Kluyveromyces lactis: one gene and its partner. The protein of the gene in region 1 interacts with the protein of each later gene in a pairwise test. Links are inferred from orthologs where the notes say so. Each region holds a gene or a part of one and is shown on either strand. Other genes may lie near its edges.

Region 1 (4,770 bases):
TAATGTCTCAAAGGTTCCAAAACCCCAGAGGAAGACACATTTTTACATTACACAGAAAATTGATATGATACTTCTTTCCTTCTTGTTTCTGTTTAATTTTGGGTTTTTCTGATAATCTGAGTGGAATAGAATAGAGAAACTAGTGCAGGACACAAGTCGAGGCAAACGATTGCAGAGTATACAGTCAAGTGCACATTACAAATCACACATTTTGGAGCGTGACGGCGCAGGGCGTATTGAATGGGGAACTTCATCGGAAGGAAGTTTCATGCACGAAAGAATGAAAAATAAACATTGAAATCGAAGTACAACTATCCTATTGACCAAAAAAAAAAAAAAAAAAAAGAGAGTCATTCTGAGACACCAGGAAATACGCAACTTGGGAAAGAGAAATCACCTGAAATGAGACGAGTAGGAATCATTTTACAAATCTTTTCCAAGCGGGTTGGTAATGACGGGAGGTTTCTATTCAGTCCATAGGATATGGCTTACCTACCGCTAAATGGCTTTTTCATGTCATGCGGCTGATGGGATTTAACTGACACAGTTACATCATTACCTGATTGATGTAGTTGACACTTGAGTTGATATACCAATACAGCTCTCTGATATCAAACTGTTAGTATGCGTACCAGAGGGAGCAAGCAACTGTCCGCTAGGAAACGAACCAATGACAGTGATTTCGTTTTGTAAAGCTGTTCAGTTTTTGATATACAGGAATAATCACGTGATGTGACTGATTGTGGAGTTTTTCGATTTTCTGTATAAAATAAACTTCAGACCTGTCTTAAACACGCTGCGTTATTTTCTGTAGTTCGAGACAAGGTTTTTATTCCTCAGTTACAGAAGAAAATGTAGATAACCAAGAATCAGGAACGGGCTGCTGAGTGTCACGTTTTTTTTTTTTTTTTGGCTATTTCAATGTAACTGTGTAAAAATGTTCAAAATGGAACTTCTTTCCGCCCAAAAAATGTGTTAAGAAGGTCCGAGCACCTTTTCATTGAGAGGCACCAATTGTGGTAAACTTCTCTAAAAGTAATCCAGAACTATCAACTCATATCACGTGCAAAGTTTTTACAGAAATATCTACATACCAGATATTATGGATGCTGTTGAGATAGATGATGTTTCTTCAAAGCAAGCGTTTGTGCTTTGAAGCGGCTGGTCGTGACCGGGTTACCAAATTCATCAATCGGTTCTTTACCTAACTCTTCATTTAACTCAAGTTCCATGGTGTGCTCGGTGTTTGAGGATGATGAGGTGGATGCGACCGCGAATCTTTCAATATTTCGACGACGATGTTCCATATATTCTCGCTCAACTTCTGCGTATATGATTTGATCCTCAACGTCTTGTACTGGCTGTTCTCCAGCGCCCGTTGGATCCCTTTCTTTAATTTCGTTAATAATAGTGCTCTCGTTATTCTGTGATGATTCTGCACTTTGTGGCAGTTCAATGTCATATTCATAGCTTGCATTCTCCTTCAAGAACTGATTTAATTCAGGCTTCAAAGTTTCTACCATCTTGTTATAAGCCTCAAAGTCAGAAGTGTCTTGCAATACTGTGCCAGGATCTTCTACATCGTCATCGTATAATCCTAGGAGATATGCTCTTGCCATGTCATCAAGGTTGTCCAATTGTGCAAAGTCGATTCTTGGCTGGACATGAATTTCATTAGACTTTTGCGCAGGGAAATGAGGCTCAACTAGTTCTTGCTTCTCCTTCATGACTTCCGCAATTGACGAGTTGTTTTGTTCGCCCTCAGCACCGCTGTCATCTTTGTTCATTTCTTCAGTGGGAATTATTGATGGTGTCTTAGTTGGCAGCGATTTTGGTTTTTGTAAGGACTTCATCTTCTTATGAATAAAGTTTGGCGAACCAGTTTTAATCGGAGTATTTTCAACTGAAATCGATGATGTGTCGTCACGCTCAACTATGTCGGTTACCACAGCCTCTACAATTGGTTCCTTTTCAAACATTTCAACATCATTAGTATTAAACTCGCGTTTTTCCGTGGCGGCTTTTTCCTTTTTAAACCTTGAGATACGCTTCTTTCGAGGTGCGGCGAGTGCTGGCTCTTCAGATTCCTTCAAGCCGTTGATGCTACCAGGTTGGTACTTTTCATGCAATACGTCGGCTTCCTTGGCTCCGATCATCTGCGCGAACAAATCGGGGTCAAATTCAACATCTTCTCCGTCAGATGCGATGATTTCTGACTCCATATAGCTGTTTCTAGGGAAATTAAATGTGTTAGATTTGGTTTCCTGTTTCACATTTTCCACTTCAAAGACGTCTAGCTTTGGCGCAAAGTTGACACTTTTCTTCTTCGAACCGCCTTTCTTAAGTATGGACTTAGCTTCTTGCTCAGGGGAATGATTACGATATTCTGTATGTACGAGATCATGTTTTTTGTTGGCCCTCAAAGCCTGTATTTGTTCCATAAAGGAATGCTGAACTCTTTCAGGAACTATGGAGACGGAATAATCTTCATCTTCCTCATTATCGTCGCTTTCTTCATCATACCCATCAAAATCGTATTCTACGTCATTTACGTCGATTTCGCCATCTTCATAATTATCCAATTTATCTAACTGATCTACCAAATCATCGAATGTGTACATGTTTTCCTTTGCTATTTGCATGGTACTCTTGTCTGCTTCCATGATTTCTCCTGTCTTATTGCCAGTTTCCGAAGTTCCTGAAGCGGAAGAGCGATCATCATTCTGAATATTGAAGGCAGTCTCTGGTGAAAGACAATTTTGACGTTCCTGACTCAGTGACAATTGTTGTTCATCACTATGGACTTCATTACCTTTGCCCGAATGCACCTTATTGGCGGGCGTCATTGAAGCATGTATCACATTTCCGTCTTCGTCTAATTCTTCTCTGATCTCAAAGAAACCTTCCTGGTCATCATCATTGTTAGAAACATTCGTATCTCCCAAAGATTTTGCACCGTCTCGAAGTAACTCCATGTTTCGCAATGTGCCATGTGCCTCTTTCAGTTTCTCATCAAATTGTGAAATGGCTTCGGCAATTAAGTTCAATCGAACCTTTATAAAAACCAGGCATTCTTCCCTAGATTTCTCCAAATAGTAATCGTAACCTATATTTTGGAAAAACTTACCATTCTGAAATACTACCTCACCATACTGCCATTCTTCTTCCGAATCTTCGCTCGTGTCAGCATCTCTTATCCTATCGAATATCTGTTCATACAACGGCTGCTGTTCCTTTAAGAAGGTTCTTTTGTTTACCAAATTATCTATGGTACCTTTGACAGTATCCATTAACTCGGCAAAAGAAGCCCCACCTTCTGCTGTTTCCATTGCGTTTCACGACTAAGACTGATTTTCTCAGCCTCTTTACCTGCCTCAGATAACTCACTCTTTCAACAAGCGATGAGATGACTTCATTACGGATGTCAAGTTACTGATTTCCGTTTTTTTTTCTTTTTGGTAGAAGCTCATACAATTTTTGGCATCACCATTTACCTTGACCCAATGGAAGTCACGTGAACAGAAATTCCTATTGTCTACCAAGGTGGTTATGGGAGACGTTCATATTTCCGTAGAAGACGTAAAAAATTTTTTTTTCTTTCCATAAGTTCGGATTTCAATATAGAAAAAACCAATACCCCCATTCACCGGACAAACTGTTGCGTTCCACCCAAACAACCAACATAAAAAGGAAAACCACGCGCTTCAGAACAGTCCGGTGGCTCGTTCAAACCTACTGAGAATCAACCATCAGTAGTGATACTTAAGGACTTTCATCAGTTCTGCAAAATCCGTACCAATAGCTGCTATCTTCAGTCCTATTTTAGATTTGGTCTCCTTGTTTTCTGCCTCCTTCACCGCCACCCGATTGCTTGCCAGTGAAGTTTTTCGCAAAATTTGGCCCCGAAAACAGGAAGAAAATAAATTTGGGCCCCCGTAAAAGAACCAATTTTTTAGAGGGATAATTGTAGTTACCCTTCCTTTCATATTTCTCGCTATTGAAATCTGGAATTCAAAGATCCTTCTTTGGCTTCAGCCGCATAGCTATCAGGGTAACTACACACGGGCATTGACACATTGCAGTATGCCAGCTCCTGCAGTGGATTCATCGAGGTTCAGGCACAGAAAGATCAGCGTGAAGCAACGACTTCGGATCTATAAGAGCCATGAAATTAAGGATTTGGAACAAGAAGATGTTTCGGCCATCAGTTCCCAGCATCAACAGCGAGAGCTGATGGAGATTGAAACTGGTGTGGAGAAGAATGAAGAAAAGGAAGAGCATTTATACAAAATTCTTCAATCCAATCAGCTTCGAGAGAACAAGAAGGATCTATTTATTCCAACACCAGACGCCTCGAAAACTTGGGACGAGTTTGACAGATTTTACCAAGGTGAATTCAAATGTCCTACGAGTTATATCCAGTTTTCTGCACAATTAGAAGATTGCTGTGGTACTTTGTATAATATGGATGAAGAAGACGAAATCTTTTTGGCAGATTTAAATAAATCCCTGGCGGATTCGGTCGAACCTCTAACGGAAGATGAGTTTGAATTAATTATGGCCAACTTTGAGTCTTCCATCAAAGATAGGCAACCCTTCCTGTCCATGGATCCCGAGAGTATACTTTCATTTGCAGACCTAAAACCAACCATGTTGAAAAACGATGTTGGTGATTCTGGCGTAAAAAAGGAACTCGCGAAGGAAATTGGGATGCCTGAAGATGAACCATTCTTGACAATGTTTGACAATAAAAGACCTCTAGGTAAAAGG
Region 2 (3,016 bases), about 370 kb from region 1:
GTTGATGATCCCGGTTTGAACTGTAAATGGTGGCCAGATGATGAGCCAAAACCAGAACATTTTGCTGAACATTCTCCAAGGCCCATAATTTTAGATCCAAACGGGAAATGGAAGTTTGAGGGTTCCAAGATGAAAACTTTGTTTGATTCTGGTGATGGTAAAGCACCAATTGTAGTCGTGAAAAAGCTTCCAGAAGTTGTAGAAGAGAACGTTGACTATTTAGTGATGCAAACTAATTTTACAGGTAAAGTGGACTGGCACGATTTGTTCATCCAATTGAAATCTCAATTCGGATTAAAATCCATCATGGTTGAAGGTGGTGGGATTGTTATCAATGATTTGCTACAGAGACCACACCTTATCGATGCCCTGGTCATCACCGTTGGTGCCACCTTCTTGGGTAGTGAGGGTGTTGAAGTGTCTCCTCTTATTGAAATTAATTTGAAAGATATCTCCTGGTGGAAGGGAACAAGGGATAGCGTGTTATGTTCACGTCTTGTGAGCCATTCCTGATCTTTACCTGTTTTCCTAAAAATTCGAATTCTTATATCAATGAACTCTCTTAATTCAGACATGCTATGTTCAAAACGTGATTAATCATTTCCTTAAATAATTGAAAAAAGAATCGTAATTAGATTATGATATCCCCTGATGGGTTCTCATACGAAGAGTGTGTTTAAGGCCCTATTAGTTTCTCTTGCTCTAATTTGGTCTATTATTATACACACGCATTTACTTTACTTAGGGTTGGGGAATGGCTCTTTTTAATTGCTCTTATAAACAGATTCTGTAACTTGCGTAACGTCCAGAAGTTTCAGACTTTCTAATAATTTTTATAACCTCGCCTCTTTTCAAACCAAGGTATAATGCTACTGGGTCCATTCTTTGGATTCTAGGCAATTGAGATTCCTTTAATCTATATCTTTTTAATAATTCCTTCTTTTCAGCCTCACTTAACCTGATATGCTTTGGGACTAGTTCGTGATGTGTAATATTGACAACCAAAGATGCTTCTGGGAAAGTCTCGATGACTGCTGGTGCTGCAGTTGGTAAAATCTTGTTTGCACTTGGAGTAATACCACTTTGATAGATGAATATACCAGTTTGGAAGTTCTTTTCCGTAATATGAACCACAAAATTCTTCATCGTCTTCACACCAACAGATGCTTCATCACAGAATTCCACCCATAATGAACCCATCTCAGGAAATTTTTCTATTGATTCTTCGGTTGGATTGGACTGGAAAGACATCATCTTACGTTGTGGCTTGCCCATAGAATCACAGTATTTAGCCTTAAAATCTTCTAAACTCAAATCTATTTCCTCCTGGGTAATGAAATATCCACGGTCCCTAACCATTTCCTTCACCGTTTTAAAAGCTCTCCATAGCCTGGAAATGTTTCTCTCCTGCTCTTGATCCATTGTTACAAAAATTGTGCGTCACTTGCCTTTGATATCTTATGAAACTAACTTTTTCCGCTTGAAGATTAGTTCGTATTAAATTCTAAAATGCACAAACAAGTACTAAGAACTCAATTATCGATATGCACAAACAAGTACTAAGAACTCAATTATCGATATGCAAACTAATCTTACCCCTTAATTTCAACCGGTACAAGGACTATTCGGCTACCTAACTTCAATCTTTTCTTAAATTTCAATCAACAAATTAATGGATTTGTTTCTCATCGCTTTCTAAATTTTGGAAAATTTTGGCTGAAAAGAAAAAGAAAAACTTCAACAAACCTTCGAAATTTCAATGCGATGAAAGAAGGAAACAGAGCCAAACCATCAAACTCGTCCTTCATGATTTCAGTCACGTGCCTGTCTTGTGTTGGTATGGAATGCTCTGAGTCAAGGGCGGCAGGTGTAGTTCTATGTTTGTATATATGTCTATATTTAGTTATATATATATATATTGATAAGCCTGGGTGAGAACTTAGTCTCACAGTCTCTCTTAATTTTAAGTCGGTTTACGTCTATATTCAAGAACAATGTCTGTGTTTGATTTCCAGTATAAAGTGCGTATAGCACTCAGGGTGATATCGTTTTCTAGTACTGTTCCTTTGCACAAGATTTCTAACCATTCGCTTGGATCTTCTTTGTTTTTCATCTCAGGTGTCTTTGATTCGAATCTATCCACTATGTAAGTCTTGATCTTTTTTGCCTTTATCATATTTGCAGCTGTTAATCTAACATTGCTATCGTTAATCTTCGGTAGCATTAAGGGTGATTCAGGTGGTTTAGATTTTTTGTGGAACCCTGATCTTTTATGTTCTACTACTAGTCTTTCAGCCTCTGGCGATTGTTGCGTTTCCTCCGATAAATGAGCCTCGTCCTTCCAAGGCTGGATGATGAATGTGATTTTTGGGTACGTCTTAATGACTTTATCCTCTTTGAAAAGAATCTTTCCAAGCCATATCGGGAGATGTCTTTCTAATGATTCATAAGTATGGTAGTTATCGATCAAGTCGTTTGCCGTATATGTAGGGGGTGGGAGATATGTGGAAAATGCAATAGTTTCCCCTGTGGACCCCTCTTTCCAATGGTTGACCGTGAGAATGCATCCACTCTTGATTTGTATCACGGGTCTAGTTGAGTCTCTGATGAACAAAGTCTCGGGGATCCGCCTCCCAAACTTCATGAACGTTGATGAGGAGTTTGGAGCCTGTTTCAAATAAGCGTGATAAACTTCTTCGATATATTCGTTCAAGAAAAGTCCTGGCTTTCGTTCAGACAGATCTTTGGAAAAACTCTTTGAATTGAATTTGAAGTTCACTTCACCATTCCCAGTAGAAGAGATACTATGAAGGTCATCGATGCTGTTAGTTTCTAGTTTTACCCTCGATGATCTGTTATGGAAACCAAATGTGCTTGAAGGTGTAGCAGATCTCTCGATACTTTGTTCAGTAACAGACCTTGTCAAAGTGAGGTTCGCCGGTTTCGATGAAGTAGGTAGAGCAGTTGCTGGGCCAGGTAACATCATTCCCATCTCATCTTCGCTTTCTTCGATTAT

Evidence for each region.
Region 2: the proteins of BUD27 (region 1) and RPB5 interact in a two-hybrid assay, tested with the Saccharomyces cerevisiae proteins (2 studies listed by BioGRID, with this or other methods). The link is inferred for Kluyveromyces lactis from reciprocal best matches to the Saccharomyces cerevisiae genes BUD27 and RPB5.

What each region holds. Positions count from the first base shown.
Region 1 is NC_006042.1:2,339,945-2,344,714, reverse strand, and holds BUD27 (prefoldin-like protein), read right to left. Parts: upstream 3,330-4,770; coding exon 1,101-3,329; downstream 1-1,100. Other genes in the region: EPL1 (Epl1p), read left to right, coding at 4,084-4,770. UniProt on the Saccharomyces cerevisiae protein: Involved in gene expression controlled by TOR kinase and nutrient signaling. May also be involved in positioning the proximal bud pole signal.
Region 2 is NC_006042.1:1,967,984-1,970,999, reverse strand, and holds RPB5 (DNA-directed RNA polymerase core subunit RPB5), read right to left. Parts: upstream 1,423-3,016; coding exon 775-1,422; downstream 1-774. Other genes in the region: RIB7 (2,5-diamino-6-(ribosylamino)-4(3H)-pyrimidinone 5'-phosphate reductase), read left to right, coding at 1-513; DUF1 (Duf1p), read right to left, coding at 1,964-3,016. UniProt on the Saccharomyces cerevisiae protein: DNA-dependent RNA polymerases catalyze the transcription of DNA into RNA using the four ribonucleoside triphosphates as substrates.